Linked DNA regions of Nothobranchius furzeri. The protein of the gene in region 2 purifies or fractionates together with the protein of the main gene of each other region. This does not show direct contact. Links are inferred from orthologs where the notes say so. Each region holds a gene or a part of one and is shown on either strand. Other genes may lie near its edges.

Region 1 (5,926 bases), about 40 Mb from region 2:
AAGGCATTTGTTGTTTTTAACATCCAGGAATCTGCAGAAAACATCCTGGCTATAAGCTAACCATGATGGGAATAACAGTGTTACTAAAAAATATTTTTTCAGTAAAGAGTTATCTAATTAATTATCGTCTTCTTTTATCATAACGCCGTTTCCGTTACTGATAAGAAAATGCGTGTGTTACTAATTCAGCAGCGTGGTGTGTTGAAGCTGCCATCAGCTGATTGGGAGCTAAAGAGGCGCATGTTTTCATCCAAGTGCATCACGGCCCATGAAGAACAAGGAAGACGTGATGAATAGTCTACGGCTGCAGACCCGCAGATTCGCTGCTGCAGCCGTGCCCTTCTTGGCGTGACAGCGGAACGTCCCGAAGGTCCACTCATCTGTTCACCACTCAGACATCACGATCTTCTACCTTCCTAGATCATCCAACTGTAACCTGTTTCTGATCATGTCTTTAGTCCTGCTGTAACACTGATGCATCAGTCTCAGACATCATGGAGCTCAGGTGTTATTAGAACTTCCTGTGCGTCTTTACCACCCACCTTCAGCTCTTCTGTGTTTGGGTCTTACCCATGTTAGTACATTTAAGTCCTCCATCAGATTTGTGCCTCTTCTAGTGTCATTTTAAAGGATATTTGTTTGTTTATTTATTTCACCATTACTAGATTACCAGCAACAGAAATGCTACTAATAACACACAATTATGTGAAGCAGGAAAAATTAGAATGCTGTGCAAAATTACTTTTATTTCAGGAATTTCACTATACTGAGAGACCATTTAAAGGCTCAGGAACCTTTACAGTTGTTTATATTTGCAATTATAATTTTGAGCTGATTGGGGTCTTGTTAAATATCACACAGTGACATTTTAATAGTCTTGATTAATGTAATGTTCCTGTTTGTAGTTCCTCCTGTTAAGTGCCCATCTGTTTCAATTATTCAGTTTGATAAAAAAAAAACATTTTGACATACATTTTATTATGTTCCAGTCATTAGTCATTTATATTTCAGTATTGTAGTAATTTATAGTAAATTAAGTAAGTTTAATCAAGAGGGGAACCCATTTTTCTTGCATTCTTTAGTGAAAAAAAAGGTAACAAAATGTTTATTTTTCTTGGTGATTAGTTACTTTTAGTTACTTTTTGGACAACGACGTGATCAGTAACTATACCTAATTACTTTTTAAAAGTAACTTTCCCAACACTGACCATTAGCATTAGCAACCCCACCACACAGCAGAAGCTCCTCCAGGCTTGTGCTATCTGTAGAGACAAAACATCCACGTTGGATAACAACAACGCGACTCTACCATAACGTGGTAGTTTGTTTGTCCCAGTGTCCCTGTGATATCTTGTGGCCTGTCCAGGGTGTACTTTGCTAATGACTGCTGGGGAAAGACTGCTCCCTTTGACCCTAGTGAGGAAAAGCAGTCAAGATCATAGGTGAGTAATTTTTAACAAATATTTCAAAACATTTCTGAACCCAAATCTAACCATATTTTCATATTTTTCTGTCCCAATCATGGTTGCCATTAGCAACAGCTGGTAGATGGAAAATTAGGGTCATAACTCTACAGGCAGCAAACATGCTCAATGCAGAACATCATCAAACACATTATCCACAGAAAAAATTTCATTATACCAGCCACAGGAGAGCCCAGTGCTAAGCAATTCTGAGCAATTTAGTCTCGATGTGGCAATTTGAAAAATTGTACTGTGATTATTTGTTTTAAGATAAATGTTTTAAAACAACATGAATACATCAGTTTTGATGAAAAGTTTATCTCACTGCACAGGTACTCTAATGATTGCTGCAGACACTTGCATATTTATATCCTTAGAAAAAGCCAATAAATACTGCAGTCTATTTATTTGGAAGAAGACCAAGTAGTACTATTTGTTTTTAGAAGCATAAGAAAAACAATGGACGTATTCCCTTGAATGGTGTGGAATGATGATAGAGGCTACACACGAATTTAAAACATAAAAAAGAAAAGATTGCAACATAGACACAACCTATTTTCAATTAACCTACAAATAAACCAAAGAAAATAATAACTGTATTTAATGTACCCAGATTTTCTAAAAAAAAAAAAAAAAAAAAACTTTCTTTGAGTGAGTAAGAAGTACACTTTGACCAATGGAGCGGAATCAGAACAGTACGACATTTGTTCCTACCCGGATCATTTCATAGGGTAACGCGCCGGCAGTGGTCGTTTGTCAGTGCCTGAACGACTCAGAATTAATTTACCTGTTTTGTTTTAGTTCTTGATCTCTGTACACATTACGTAAGTGTTTTGTTCTTTTAAAACCAATTGATGTGAAGCTGAAGCTATTATTTGCCCTCCAGGGGAGCCTAAATTTAGACTTTTATTACACGAAGACCGACTAGCTAAGCTAAGCTACTGTTAGCATAAAGAGTGGAAGATCAAACGTTGTCCAACAAAGAAAATGTGTAAATAAAGGGCAACGACCGAATATTTGGAATTGTATTTTGTTTGTTAATATGTCAATGTTGATCATTTGGATAAAACTCACATAAATAACGGCGATTAAGGATTCGAATGCAGTGGAAAAATACACTGCATGAACGAATTAGATAACTTTGCTAACATCGTTAGCCTTTCCAATATATTTGAAATGTTCGTTTGTATTTTGCTTTAAATAATAGTCTTTTTGGGATGTTTAATGTTGGAGTGGTAGTTTTTAAGCTTTAATTCTGTCTTTTTCCCTAGTTGTCACCATACATCCAGATTAAAGTAGTCACCCACACGTTGCGTTATCAGTACTTAGTCCTGGGACCTTCTAAGGTTTTGTTGTTGCGTTTGTGTTGTCTTTTCTTTTGCTAAATCAAAAGCGCATGCGATCTGCTGATTGTGTCAATAAATAGTATCAATACTGTTAAGAAGTAGCTTTTGCTGCTACGATTAGCTGCAAATACTCGTTTATTTTGTTTGTCTGACCCAAATTAAAAAGAGACTGAGCTGGAGGTTTTTTTTCTTCTTTCCACCATTGTTGGAAATCAATGTTAAAAAGTCTGAAACTTTTTAGCTGTTCTAAAAGTTAAAACATGTAGAAAAGCAGTAGTGATGCACCGATATGACATTTTTGGGCTGATACCGATATCTGATATTGAGCTCACTGTTATGGCTGATAACTGATATTTGCCGGTACAGATATGCTGACATTAAAGCTGAATTTACATTATGTACACGCAACACACACATTTATGGGTCTGAGATTATTTCATTCACTGTTCACATGACTAAACAATTACACATCACCCCCCTCACCCTCTGAAACAGGCGAACAAATGGAGACGAGATGGAAAAAATATCGGCCTGGTTTTATTTATCGAGCCGATATGTTAAAAATTGACCAACATCGGCCGATACAGATATTGATGCTGATATATTGTTCATCCCTAGAAAGCAGCATTTTAAAAAGCTTTACCTGCTCAGTATGTGCCTTATACAACATCATACAGGCTAATGTGTGTATGGAGTTCTGACACAATGTAGTAAAAACAAGTGATGCTTTTTGCATCCCAGCATGAATTACGTACAGCATGCACACATTATCTTTTTAAGAATAACAGTACATCTTCATCTGGACACTGATGAAACCCCAAGTTTATTTTAAAACTTAAAGGACTTCTTTCCCTGGTGAATCAAACAAGATTGACCTTTACAAACAACATTGTACAAGAACAACGTCTAATGAATCAGCCTAATATTCTAGAAAATGTAGAATTTTTTTATATAAATGATTTTAAAGAACATCACGGGTGATGTTTTTCTATCCTTTCCCCATCCAGAGTCTTTGAGTGAAAATGACGGACCGATACAACATCCACAGTCAGCTGGAACATCTTCAATCAAAGTACATCGGCACAGGACATGCTGATACCAGCAAGTGGGAATGGCTGGTCAACCAACATCGTGACTCATATTGCTCCTACATGGGACACTTTGACCTGCTAAACTACTTCTCCGTGGCTGAGAATGAGAGCAAGGCCCGCGTTCGCTTCAATTTGATGGAGAAGATGCTTCAGCCATGTGGGCCCCCAGCAGACAAGCCCGATGATGCTTAAATAACTCCAGAGTGAGCTTTTGTCCCTGGAAATTCTTTTTTCTACCATTAAATCCTGTTTGACCCTATCAAAAATAATTGGATCATCCATTTATAGTAGTTTTGTTTGCATATGGACAGCACTGAGGCAAAACAAATTATTTCAAGATCTCAATGTTTACAAGAACGGTAAATGTGTCTAAGTGATGCACAATTATCTGTGAAGAGATTGAAGAGATTGATGATTACAATGTGCCCATGATAAGTTTTGCTTATTCATTAAAATTTGACCTTTTTCTACAATCTTATTTATTTTACAGCCAGCTATTCATCTATTCTTTCACAACACTTTTATTTGTCATCATTTGGATTGAATGTGATTTGGGTTTATTTGAATAAACATTCATAGGTGGCAGGTAGCCTTTTGAAGCCTTTTACTCTGAAATGCTGGTGTTTTTCAGCTACACCCAATACTTTTCTGCAATATTAAGAAAAAAAAGAGAATTTAATGCAGATAATCTTTATTTTATTATAGTTGTAGCAAAATGCTTTTACTCAACTACAACAATAACTGATGCACTGTGGTTCAAATGCTGAAACTGCTTATTTGCAGTAGGAAATTTCACGGAAGAAAATTATCTGAAAAATCAGTGGGTGAAATTTAGAAAAGTCCACCAAAAGGTGGTTGAAGAAAAAAAATAACGGTGTTAAAAACAACAGAACACAGGTTTATGATGTTATTAAAAATTGCCAAAAGACTGCTTTCAAAACCAGCCGACCTGCTTTTTCAAGACAAAACTGGGAACTGCTGACACACAAAAAGCTAGAATTTTTAAATTAAATTGCCTCAGAAACACAAATGTGACAGCTGTGTGCATGAAAAACCGCTAAATCCTGCTTTAAACAATTCACCTTCTTTGGTAACTTAAACTCCCTCTTATTAAACACAACTTTAATCAATAGTTTATGAAATCCATTGATAAGAAAATCAATTTACAAGCACAACGTATGGAGGTCTGTTACTGCCATTGAGAAAAAAGTTCAGAAATTAAGTCATAAGTATGTTTTTATTACCAAAAATATGAATCAGGATAAAGAAAAGAAAAGCAGTATAAATTCCTTAAATAAGATCAAAGTCACAGGTTTGTGATTCTACATAATAGTATGTAAAGACAATTACAACATATTGTGATGTCATAGTTGACTTTAAAATTTACATCGAGTGAGTCATGAAATCATAAATTAGACTTGAAAAGTAAAATGGAAGCAAACTAATTATTATGAAAAGCAAACTCATGAAATTAAAAGTCCTGACTTGAAAAAAGTGAAATATGACTTTGTAAATATACAACTCACTTTAAATTCATAATAATGAGTTAGAAAGTCACAATCTTGATGCTATCAGAGTACTTTTCCAGTGGCTGAACTGGGCTCCAATGTCAAAGATTGATGTAATCATAAAAATCCAGGAATACGACTGACATTCAGGCGCTTAATAACGAGCTGTCAGCACCGTTACAAACTGAGCTGCATCAGGAAATGCTGAGATTTTGTGAAATGTGCACAAATATTATTCTGCATTTAAGGCTCAAAAAGTGCTAATAACCCCTTGTTTTAAGTTAAAGCTTAGTAAATGTTCACCAACAGTTCAACATTTGTTCAGCCAGTCAGATTCAAGAAAGTGCTGTCCACCTACACAACCTCTCACACACACACCGGTCGGCAGCTGCCCACCCACTGGGTTCACACAGATCAGTGTGCGTGACTTCACATCATCATTCTGGTTTTATTTAGCAGAGATGCCAGATTATTTCAGAGCTTGTTTTCCATTCGCAAATGTCAAAATGTTTTTTAGC
Region 2 (6,246 bases):
AAAAGTACAAGTACAACACCTGAAGTGTACTTGAAAATTTGAAAAATACAAAAAATCAATAAATTAAAAAAAACATTCCTTAGTGATTCAAAGAGCTAACAGGTCACATGGCTAGAGCAGTTTCATGCAGCACTTAAAGTATATTTGACTCATTTTACTTTACATCTTTTAGCTTTCACCAGCACATCGATATCAAGTCACATCCTGAGTGGCGGCCAACTTCAGGATGTGATTCAAATTCTTGTATGAGCCTTGCGTGCAGCTTTGTTTTATTTATACTCATTACAGAGGAAACTTGCTCACAAAGATACGTTTATTTTCACTCTACATCGTAAAGTATGAAAATAAAGTTTACACAACCATCTCGCGGGCCGGATTTAACCCGCTTGCGGGCCGGATGTGGCCCGCGGGCCGCAAATTTGACACCCCTGCATTAGAAGCTACAGGAAGTGTAACATTTATGCATCTGTCTAATTTGGATGAAACAATTACACTTTCTGTAAAACCTATAACTTGGTTTAACTTCTCAGATATCACTGTGTGTGTCTCCTACAGGATATGTTTAACTGGCATTTTTTATCGTAACAACAAACGATTTCACACCCCACTAAGTTTATACATCATGATCAATTCAGGTACTTATATAAATAACGGTGCCAAACTTCTGAGCCCCCCTGTCTTTTCTGAGGTTCTGGATTCTTCTTTCTTCCACAGCATCTCTGGTCTGTCTGCCTCTACCTCCTCTTCCCAACCTACGACCTCCGACAGCTAAACCCCGACTTTGATCTGCATTTGGGCTTGCTCGTGCTCTCGGTCGACTCCTGGGCCCTCATTTAAATTTGAAAAGGTGTGGTGTGAGTTAAAGAGAGCTGGCCATGGTCAGAAGCCATCAAATCTGAATAAACTGGAGATCTTTTGTAAAGAACGGTCCATTCTGAGATCTTCACATCAGATTTTTGGTTCATTTTTTTGTATGTTTTTCTGATTTGATTTTTTCTTTTAATGTTTTTCAGTGCATCCTTCAAAATAAAAGGACCAGCCAGTTAAAGGGTTAGTCCGTGGTGAGATTAACCTTAATCCATTGCTCTTGTTAAATGTTCTTTATTATTAATAGTTCTTAAATGTTGCATAAAATCATCTAGTTTTTATTCTCGATGAAAGCCTTCCGATTGCAGTAACATACCGTGACCACATGATGTCGCTCTTTAGTCACAGCTTGAGAGGGCCAGAGGCGCTGCTCCTGTAGGTCAGAGTAAAACTCCATCAGCTGTTGTGTTAATCAACAGATTTGTCCTGTTCTCGTGAAAAGACGAGTTTACGCAGAAGGCTTTGTTTTAGCTCCTCTGAGGTGGAGAAAAGAATCGCAAAGGGCTTCTTATCTGAGGTTTCTGCTAACGCAGATGTAAATTTATCACTGAAACTCACGGAGGAAGTGCAGTTACAAAGTCAGAATTATTATCAGGAGAAATTGGTTTAACAACTTTACAGGACTTGAGAAAACACGCCATGCAAACTAGAACAAGGACGTAAAAGCTTGGGACTTTACATAAACTGGTGGAAGTAGACCTTAGAGGCAAAAAGGAAAACTAACTGGAGAAAAACAAACCAAACCTTAAAAGAAAAGATGAGCAATAAGCAACCACTCGATGTTTGAAGAAGGTTCAGGTTGCAGTACTGTGCTAAAGTTTTGATTCAGTTCCGATTTCTTTATATTTTGCACCCAGTGAAAAAAATCTAATTATTTAAAAGTCTCAGCTTCTTTTTCCAAATCTGATCTTCTGCCTTTGATTCGGCTCAGTCTTCTGCCTGAAGGAAGGGGGGCAGTCTGTGTTACATATAAACGCTTATATACACACCATCACGATGGTGGCCTCATTTAGCTTTCGCTTCCACCATCAGGACCTCCAGTGGGAGCCCACCATCACCTCCAGCACAAAAAGGCCCAGAGAAATTCAACCTATCAGCACAGTCGATGAGGCAGTTCTACACAGCAGTCATTGAGTCCACCCTCACCTCCTCAATCACAGTGTGGTATGCAGGAGCTACCACCAGGAACAAGGAGAAGCTGCAGCATGTTATGCTACGCTCTGCTGAGAAGGTAATTGGCTGCAAACTCCCCTCCATGCAGGACCTGTACACCTCCAGGACACTGAGGCGTGCAGGTTGCATCACAGCTGGCCCGTGTCACCCTGGACACAGTCTCTTTGACTCTCTCCCATCTGGCAGGAGACTCAGATGCATTCGGACCAGAACCTCTCGCCACAAGAACAGTTTCTTCCCCTCTTTTCACAGACTCATGAACAACAATCCTAGGACTGCCCACTCCAGCCGCTTGGTTCCAGTCACAATTGTGTTTGTACCTGAATTCTAGTACCTGCACTGTGTATAGTAGCCGCTTCTCTAATTATTGCCACATTATATTAAATATTTTATCATGAGTATATTAGTAATCTCTATATCTCTTAATTTTGTTCTTCTTTTGCGCCAAATCTAGCATTTATCGCAATAAAACCTTCTGATTCTGATAGTTGTTTTTGTTCATCATGACAGTCACCACTCCGCCGCTAGATGGCGACAAAACAGAATATTTCGGCCTGGTAAACCGATCCCGTAGGAACCTTTTTTCCAGCTGCGGGGAAGGGGAGCTGTAATTGTGACGGACCTACGTGGCATGTAAACATTTTGCTGAATTACTGAGAAAAGGCCGTTTGAGAACTGACATAATCCAGTTATTACAAACGTATTGCGTCTGTACGGTGACATTTCGCTTCGTGACTTGACGTTGGCATCAAAATAACCTGAAAAGGGACGGAACGTTAAGCTGAAGACGTCCAAAGCTACTGGATTCACGTTCGTGTCCAGATCAACACCTGTAGCCATGTGGGGTGAGATTGACCCCCCCGTTAGGCCGCAGCCGAGTCTGTTGTTGGAGAGTGAGAACCGGAGTGAAGCTTCAGAGGAACCCGCCGCGCCACCGTGGAGATACGAACAGAACCGGGCCCCTTGCACGGACCCCCAGGAAGCTCCACGGGAAGAGTCGGCGGTGGGAACACACCCATAAACTCTGGGAAGGTGTTGTGCTTTATTCTGCTGCTCTGACGTTTGTGTTTGGGTTTGAAGGCGGAGTCCAGCTGTGTGGCCGCGATGATAGAGGCGGTAGCGATGAGCGGCAGCCCGGTGAAGAGCCAGCAGGTCGGTGAGGCGGAGCTGACGGTCGGGGAGAGAAAGCAGGAGCTGCGGGAGCAGTACCGGAGCAGACCGCTGGTGTTCCTGGAGCGGTACCATGTGAGTGACACACGCACGCACACACACATTTTATCTTCTTCCTCCGTGTCATCCTCATCAAAATATTTATCCTCAGCAACTCTATTAACTAAATCCAGGTTGTCATAGTTGGGGTTATTGTCCACTTCACTGTAACACACACACACACACACACACACACCTGTATAACTGGTTTATTGCTCTTTTGTATTTATGGAGAACCAGGTAGATCAAGTGGCTCTGCTGATCTCAAACACACAGGAAGAAAGCATTTCCCTTTTAAAAACAACCTCACTGTGATAATGCATCCTGACTCGCTTGTTTTCTCCTGTCCTCCCTTTCAGACCCATTTGCAGCCCGAGCACCTTCCTGCATTTGTCCATGTCTGCGCTGACCCGAGAGCTCAGCACTACAGCGGTGTGGTCCAGTCGCGAGCGTCCGGCTGCATCAACAGAACCAGAGTCAGAAACCAGCGTTATGCTGCTCTCAGGGCTCTACAGAAAGGTAGACTCCACTGTAGGGCTGCTCGATTATGGCAAAAACAATGATCACGATTTTTGTGACTGAAATTGAGATCTCGATTATTTAGGACGATTTTTCAATTTATGTTGATTTTATTTGTTTTTATTCAGTCATAAAATTGCTCAGGGCACAATCAGGACAAAAATAAATAAGACACAAGATGATCACTAAAATAACTCCTGATTCCCAGTATAAAAAGACTAATATACTTATAGCTCATAGTTTATGACCCAAGGGCTGTAGACCTTGGTTTAACTCATTTAAGTCTAACCAGTACAGACCCAAATACTAACATCTTGCAAATACTGACAGCAAGAATTATACAGTGGCATTTATAACAAATAAATGCAAATAAATTGATGTTCACAAAATGTTGCATAGCATTTATTTAGTCATGTCAAGGTGCTGTAGGAGAGTGCACTAGCACCGTGTCCTCAGAGAGATTAGTTATTATTTATCAGCGTGAGGAACTTATTTCTACCTTATTTATAAACTATTTATTTACAAGTCCATCAGTTAATGTAATAATTGTCCCAACCACAGCTGCACCCCCCACCCCCCAACCCGGTCTCACAGCAATCGGGGCAAGCTGCACGTGTGTTTAGTACGCCGCACGTGCACATTACGCCGTTTTTAGTGGCTCAGGAGTCCGCAGGTGCGGTGTGTGTGTCACTCACTCTGGTTAATCCAACAGGGAGCCGGCTCCGAGAGCCGTTTCTGTAGCGACTGACACATCACTACATCATTCCCTTTCCTAATGTTGTGAAGAACGGTCCGGAGCGCAGGCGGAGTGTTTAGCTAACCTGCAGGAAATATCAACAACAGTTATCCAGAAAGTAGCTAAGGGTTACCGGAGATGTTTCTGAGGTGTTCGCTAGGTACTTTTAAGATTTAAAAAGTCAAGAAGTGGGTCTGAAAAGCTGCTGGAAATAGCGTCAAAGTCGCCAAGCTGGCAACACTGTGGGAGGAGCGCTTCATTTGCAACTCAGGGCAGCGCAAGTGGGAGGAGCAAATAATCGGCCTGTTTTGTTTTCATAATCATTCTAAACTCAGATCGTAATTGTGATTAAAATTTGATTAATTGAGCAGCCCTACTCCACTGTTTCAGCTGTAGAAGAGGCACATGCATGTGGGTCTAAGCATGATGTCGTTTTACTGCCAAATACGTTTAGGCAACACAGAACACGCAAATGCAAAAATCTTATATTTTCTTTGATTTTTATGTTATTATTGATGGTAAGAATGGGAACTATTTGATGTTTTATCTCATCAGGGCTTATTTTTACTTTACCATTCATACAGGACATCTCAAAGTACTTTACAGCATATTAATAAACGACACCAAATAAATAGAATAAAACAATGAAATGATTTTACTTCATGTGATGATTCAGAAATGTAGAACTGTGAGTCAGCACGAGAAGATAAGAGATGTTTTAATACTTTAATCTGAGCTAAAGGGAGCATGTGGATAATGGCCCGAGAACTGAGCCCTGAGGAACCCCACGTGTGACATTTGTTTGCTCTGATTTATATTTTCCAAACTGATAATGTAATAAGCAGCAGCACTAAGAACCAATTAAACCAAGGCAGATGTTTTTGATGGGTCATTTTTGAGAACCAAGTTCACTGAGAAACCATTTTTATTTGTGATTTGTGCGATACAATCAGTCAGTCTGAGTTTCTCATGCAGGCTAAACGTGAAAAAAGTCTACTAACCCTATCTTCTGCATTAGCTGCTGATAGATGATAGATGAGGGAACACTCACGGAGAAGTGACCCAGATCTACATCACATTATAAATTAGCATTCATGGACTCACCCATCTTGGTTCACGCCTGCAGACGATTGTTGGTTTAGCGTCCAGGAGAGAGTAGAGCACATCTCCGATAGTAGAAGCTGATCGTTAGCGTTAGCAACTCCACAGCACAGCAGCACTCCTCCTTCAGACTTGTGTTATTTGTGGAAATAAAACATTAGCATTGCAAAGAAGACAGAGGCAGTGGAAGAGTCGTGTTGCTGTTAGCCAATCAGAGGTGAGAAGTCATCATAGCATGAATATTAATGAGTAAAACTCCTAATCCTGCTGTTTTCTGCTTCCATCTCCTCCGACTTACTTCTACTTCCTGAAACAGGAGCGCCAGAGCTTTTTTTTCCACAGATTTTGACTCACAAGGCATTTATTCTTACCAGACCTCTGCAGATGTGTTAAAAAAAACTGGTGAACTTGGTCTTTAAGCTAGACCTAATTTAAAATGTTTACGAGTGCAGTCTCTTTTCTGCGCTGTGATGGAAACCCTGATTGGACGGTATTAAAGAAAGTGTTTTATATCAACTAACACATTTTTTCTAAACCAGTTTCACAGAGCTAGGTGTAGGCTAGAGTTTGGACCTGTAGGAACATCCAGGTCAGACTTGTTTAAAAGCTTCATTTCAAGTGCAACACAAAAAAAGCTGTTA
Region 3 (6,148 bases), on a different chromosome or scaffold from region 2:
GTGTCAGCTTCCCCTTAGTATATTAGTCATGGTTCATGCCTTCTGGTCTTTTGTTTTTCTCTTTGGTCATTTTCCTTTGTTACAGCCTTTCAGGCCTAGTCCACACGTAGCCGGGTTTTTTTTTTTAAACGAATATCCGCCCCCCAAAAACTTGCATCCACACCACCTCGTTTAAAAAAAAACTGTCCACACGTACCCGGATAAATACGTTGTTAAGGACATGCCAGACCTGTAGGCGGCAGTACTTCCCCCGTTCTTAACCTCGTCCTTCGTCTGTGGTCTTCCGCAAGGAGCAGTAATTCCGCTTGCAAAAACAAACAAGCAAAAAGCGCTTGGACAATTGATGAAGCGAGCGCAGCTCTGAGGGCATCCATGCTGTCGGCTAGTGTAAACACAGGTCGCACACGTGATGTCAGCATTTTTTGTCGCGGAAAGTGACGTTGCGGACCTTAAAACTCCGGTTTTGTCCGTCCACACGCAGACACCCAAAACGGAGAAAACGCAGATCTTCACTTTGGCCGGAGTTTTTAAAAAGATCCGTTTTCGTGTGGATGACAGGCCAAAACGTAGAAAAATATCTACGTTTTGGCAGATCCCCGGCTACGTGTGGACAGGGCCTCAGTATTTAGTGTGTTTTTCCCACCAGTGTTTTCTTCCTCCTCCCTGATTTAGTAATTGTGTTCACCTGGTCCCTCTCCCCACACACCTGCAATTCATCTCCCTCTCATCTTCCCAGTCTATATAAGCCCTGTCTTGTCCCTGTGTTGTTGTCGGTCCATTGTATGTTTGTCAGCGTTGTTTTATGCTCTAGTTGAGCTTATGTCTCCAGGTTTTGGTGCTCTCAGTGAGCTTTTGTTTTTGTTACCAGGGTTTTTGGATTTTTGGACTTTTGGCTCACTGCCTTTGGATTTATTTTTGTTCGTTCTACAAAATAAAGCATATTTACTTTACATCATCTCCAGCCTCGTGTCATCCTGGGTTTCTGCATATTTGTGTCCTAAACATCCTCAAAACGTGACATTAGAAAGGACTTGGTCCTGATGTTGCTGCTATGCAGGCGGTTTCTGATGGTAGAAAGGACTGTTTTCCTACTGAATGTAGTGTGCACATTTACCAAGGTGTCCTTTTTTAGGTGTTTCACGTGGTCTTGCTGGGGGGGTTAGAGTCTTTAGGGGACAGAGTTGAGTCAGAGCAGTGTTAAAGATGCATTGTTCATGTGATTTACACCTGGTCACGGCCTCGGTGAAGACCAGATGTGATGTTCATCTCCCAAGCTTCACCTTAGTGCCTGTTTGAGTGAAGCCCAGCATAAGCCAGTGCTGCAACATCCGTTACCATGGCAATAACCTTTTTCTTTTCCCTTTTTCTAATTCAGTTGTTTCGTTTGTGCATAAAAAAGGCTTTTAAAAAGTCTGCTGAGGTTTCAGAGGAAAATTAGTTGCAGTATCAGTGTTTTGTTTTTTATAAATATTAAAATTAAAGGTGCTGAAAAAACCTGATTGATGCTCAAATTACTCGAATAGGGAATAGTCTCCAGGTGTGCTACCGCATCCAATTTAAATTTTTACTTCTTGTTTTTAAGTAACTCTATCTTTATGCTCCTCTCTACTTGACTCAGCTGGTTCAGCCCTACGTACCTGGTCGAATTCTTTGGTCAGCAGACCTGTTACAGGTCCCAAGAGTTCGGGTGAGGACGCAAGGAGAACGAGCCTTCTCAGTCTGTGCGCCTCGTCTCTAGCAGTGACGGCTCATTTTTATTCCTTAGCTTTTACTTCAGCCTAGCTAGCATTTTACGATGTTTTTGTTTTGTCTTTATTGATTTTATAGTAGTTACTGTACTACTTTTATTACTTCTTCCAGTGTGTTGATTTTTATGCTCATTTACTGTGCAGCACTTTGGTTGGCCTCGGCCCTGTAAAAATGTGCTTTAAAAATAAAATGGAATGGAAATAGTGCTCCCTTCAATTCTGGAACCAACTGGTATGAAGAGCGAGAAGAACATTTTAGCCTAAATATTTTTTCATGTTTTAAAAAAAGTGCACTAACACTTGTTTGCTATACAGTTTTAAATGTTATTTTATTCGTATTCATTATATTGAAAGAAACTCTGGGATTTTTTTACTGAGTTGAGCTTAAGTATAGGTTCTGTTCAGTTCTTATGCATCTTCAGTTATCAGCCTCAGCAGCCAGTATTCAAATAGCATTTCTGTAAGAATGTCATTTTTCTATAGTTAGGATAATTGTTCCAGGCTGGTTGAGGTTCTTGTCCGCCGCTAGAGGGCAGCACCGTTATAAGGATGTATCTGTAGCCTAATTCCAAACCGGAAGTTCGATATATTTTTACCGTAGCCTCCATTTTGAAGTGAAAACAGCGTGTTTGTTGTTTATCTGCGTTATTTACACGAATTAAATCGTTACGATGGCTATGCAAGCAGCAAAACGTGCTAATGTAAGTGTAATGGAGCATATAAGGGGACAAAGGAAAGGCTAATGTGAAATGTAAGCTAGGTTTAGCTCTGAGGAAGCGTCTCAAAGAATTAGCGCACTACTAGCAGGTTAGCAAATTGAAAACAGTCCTCAAAACCTGAAATCTTCAAGCTTTATATTCACTTTAGTTATACTTACCATTTGAGGTCATGTGTTTTTTCATCTTTTGTTTTGTGAAGACATAATCCTCGTTGGGATATCGTCAGGCTAAGAATATTTGTTCCTTCCGGTACGGAAACAAGGATAAGCTAATGCATGTAATGATTAAAAGTAGCCATGTCTATTGTTAAGTGACTTACGTAGTCTTAAAAGGCCTCAGCTAGTAATCGTGTGTACTTATGTATCAGGTATTTGAGTTTTTACCCAGGTTAGTTTTGTTCCCTCTGAATAGTTTAATGATGTGTTTTAATGGTGTTGTAGATCCGATTACCTCCTGAGGTGAACAGAATCCTGTATATAAGGAATCTCCCCTATAAGATCACAGCTGAGGAGATGTACGATATCTTTGGAAAATACGGACCAATACGACAGATCCGAACGTAAGTTTTCAAAAAGTGTGTGTGTGTGTGTGTGTGTGTGTGTGTGTGTGTGTGTGTGTGTGTGTGTTATTATGAAGTCATTTTCAGAGTAAAAGAAAATTTTATGTAACAAAGCCAACTCTGCATTTAAAGCAGCCTTCACAGGATAAAAGCCACACATCGCTTCACGGTAAACATAAATAAAACAAATGTAAGTAAAACAGGTTTAAGTGTATTTAGAGAGCTCACGTTGAAGTAACAGTTAAGAGTCGTAGAGAAAGCAGCAAAGACAGAAAGAAAACGATCTTTTACGTAGCGCCTCTCAAAATAAAAATCACAAGGCGCTTCACAAACAAAACAACTAGAAAGATGTCAAAAAACGATTAAAAATATGTTTAAAATGAAGATAAGTAAATTGTGATTAAAAATAATAATGTAAGGAATGGGAGAGAGAAAATGAATAGGAAAGAGGGAAATGAGTGGATTGCTGGGAAAGGCGGAATACGTAGAAAGAGCCGAATAGGGAGAGGGTGGTGACGAAGGTCACACCAAAGCCAGCTTGAACTGGTGAGTTTTTAGCTGCTTTTCATAGGAGACCACCGAGTCCACTGATCTCAGGCTCAGAGGGAGAGAGCTCCAGAGTCTAGGGGCCACAGCAGCAGATGATCTGTCACCTTTGGTCTTTAGCCTGAAAAGAGATGAACACAGAAAAGGAGCCACCTTCATGGACGTTGTTTCTGCCTGGAGTTGATTGGTTTGTTGACACAAATTACATGACAAATCCCTTAAAGAGCAAATTGCAGGTTAGAGACTCCCATGAACCAATGTTTAGAGAAGCATAACAGAAACTCGGTTTAGAAGTTTTTTACACAGTAGAGACGGAGCTGCGCATCTGACCCCGGAAGTTGTTGCCCGTTGCCAGGAGACGAAGGCGGGCAAAACAGGAAAGGAATCTAGTAGCGGACGGACATTGTTCTGGGTCTTCGGTATTTGGTGGAGATGTTAGTGAAGGCGGAGAAGAGGGTGGACTAGAGGAAAAACAGGCAGGTTCCACCTCTATTTACAAACTCCTGGGGATGCAACAAGTGGGCGTGGTGCGTCGACCACCGGATCTGACGTCGACGAATTTTTAGAATCGAGCCGTCGACGTCATCGATGCATCGCTACAGCTCTACTGCGCATACCTGTAGTTATCGTCCATTTATCGTTATCGAGGTGAAATCCTCAATATATCGTGATATTGATTTTGAGCCATATCGCCCATCTCTAACCTAAAGGAAGACCCAGGATGCGCTGGAGGGACTACGTCTCTCAGCTGACCAGGGAACACCTTGGGATTCCCCTGCAGGAGCTGTGGAGGGAAGTCTGTGCCTCCCTGCTTAGGCTGCTGCCCCGTGACCCGACCCTGGATAAGCGGCCAGAAATGGATGGATGGATCAGCTAAGATAGTTTGATGGAAAAACAAAATTTGTTATTTTTGTTAACAACAAAAACTAGAGAGCGATCAGTTCACCTTTAATAAACATGGCTGCTGCTGCTTCAAGAGGGTCGGCTCCTTTCTGTAACACCGGTGTGTGAGCAGCAGACTCCTCCTAATATCCAGGCGGTGTCCTCTGGCTTCGGTGTGGAGTAGACCTACTTTAACTTTGAAACTTTTATGCTAGTCGCGTGTGTGAGAGCCCTGCTTTGGGTCTGGGACCCAGCACGTCCTTCTGTTATTCTGTGAGGTGGTACCAAAAAAAAAAAAAAGTCAAAAATGATCTTTTTCCCTCAATCCGTGTCATGTGATTTAGATACAGAGTCCCAATCCAATATTTCAGCAATCCATTAAATTAAGGAAAAAGTAGAAAACATCCAAGTTTTCCATTTTAGGTATTTTTATTATTTATTTGTAAGTTGGAACGGAATAGAAACGTTATCTGTCTAAACGGCTAGAGAAACTCGTCTTTTAAAAAGACACAACTTCCTGTTTCCATGTCATTTCCTCAGTTGAGCTGCTGAAACCATTCAGGAAGAATATTGATCAGAAACATGTTATTACTACAAATATGTTTAGTAATAGTCTCATTCCTTATTATTCAAATAGTTTAGAAAGTGTGTGGCTGCGATGAGCATTACCAAGACTGCACCCACGTTGCAGCTGCCAGGCTCACTCTTACCTGCACACCTGTGGTGCTGGGTGTGTAAAATGGTGATAAGAAAGCAAAAACCGGCGTTTGCAGCCACAGAGTCATCCTGGTTAATATTCTGCTATCTCTGCTCTATTTCTGCCTCAGAGGGAACACGCCTGAAACAAGAGGAACAGCTTATGTTGTGTACGAAGACATCTTCGATGCCAAGAACGCCTGCGACCACCTTTCAGGCTTCAACGTCTGCAACCGTTACCTGGTGGTTCTTTACTACAACGCAAACCGAGTACGTACGAGTTATGGAGCACACACGGGCTGTCAGGGTTGCACCAAAAGAAGACTCAGCAGTTTGAAGTTAAGAGGTTAAAACTAAGTTTTCTGTTTTTGGTGCACAGGCTTTCCAGAAGATGGACACCAAGAAGAAAGAAGAGCAGCTGAAGCTTCTGAAAGAGAAATATGGAATCAACACAGACCCTCCAAAGTAGAGTCACCTAATCCGCCTTCGTTCACCTTCAGAGACGTTCTTTATTAACTTTTCTGTCAATTATTGGCTTATTAAGATGACTCATTTCCCCCTTTAATCATCTGGCCCAACATGCAGGACTGTGGTGTTAGTCCAGTCCAGAACAGCAGCTTCGGGCTTTTATTGTGACTTTGTCCTACCGACCCATCATTTAGACAAACTTTTTATTTAAACATACTGCTGTGTAAAGTTTATCATTCCTGTAAAATAAATGCTCCTTTTTCTAAAGCTCCCCAGCGTTTTCCAAACCTCACATCTGAATCATCCAGCAGGTTTTTATTTCCTAGAGAAAGTCTGACATGCACCGTGTCACAACGCTCGAGTCATCTCGAACTGGTTTCTAGAACTTGACCATGAGGTCACTGGACTCCAGCAGTCGCCACAGTCTCCAGATCTCAGTCCGGTCCAGAACCTTTGTGGAGGTTCTTATGGTTGGAGCCGATGCTGTAATGTTGGGATGGACCGGAACCTCAGAAATGCTGAAGGCTAAA

The links.
Region 1: the proteins of ccdc97 (region 2) and sf3b5 purify together in Homo sapiens (affinity purification with mass spectrometry; 3 studies listed by BioGRID and IntAct, counting the BioPlex papers as one, with this or other methods). This does not show direct contact. The link is inferred for Nothobranchius furzeri from reciprocal best matches to the Homo sapiens genes CCDC97 and SF3B5.
Region 3: the proteins of ccdc97 (region 2) and sf3b6 purify together in Homo sapiens (affinity purification with mass spectrometry; 3 studies listed by BioGRID and IntAct, counting the BioPlex papers as one, with this or other methods). This does not show direct contact. The link is inferred for Nothobranchius furzeri from reciprocal best matches to the Homo sapiens genes CCDC97 and SF3B6.

Annotation. Positions count from the first base shown.
Region 1 is NC_091752.1:24,289,498-24,295,423, forward strand, and holds sf3b5 (splicing factor 3B subunit 5), read left to right. Parts: upstream 1-2,174; 5' UTR 2,175-2,287; intron 2,288-3,816; 5' UTR 3,817-3,831; coding exon 3,832-4,092; 3' UTR 4,093-4,378; downstream 4,379-5,926. UniProt on the Homo sapiens protein: Component of the 17S U2 SnRNP complex of the spliceosome, a large ribonucleoprotein complex that removes introns from transcribed pre-mRNAs.
Region 2 is NC_091752.1:64,455,970-64,462,215, forward strand, and holds the start of ccdc97 (coiled-coil domain-containing protein 97), read left to right. Parts: upstream 1-2,578; 5' UTR 2,579-2,878; coding exon 2,879-3,043; intron 3,044-3,120; coding exon 3,121-3,285; intron 3,286-3,608; coding exon 3,609-3,768; intron 3,769-6,246. UniProt on the Homo sapiens protein: May play a role pre-mRNA splicing through the association with the splicing factor SF3B complex which is involved in branch-site recognition.
Region 3 is NC_091742.1:17,813,833-17,819,980, reverse strand, and holds sf3b6 (splicing factor 3B subunit 6), read left to right. Parts: upstream 1-2,300; 5' UTR 2,301-2,419; coding exon 2,420-2,449; intron 2,450-2,907; coding exon 2,908-3,026; intron 3,027-5,281; coding exon 5,282-5,420; intron 5,421-5,529; coding exon 5,530-5,619; 3' UTR 5,620-5,885; downstream 5,886-6,148.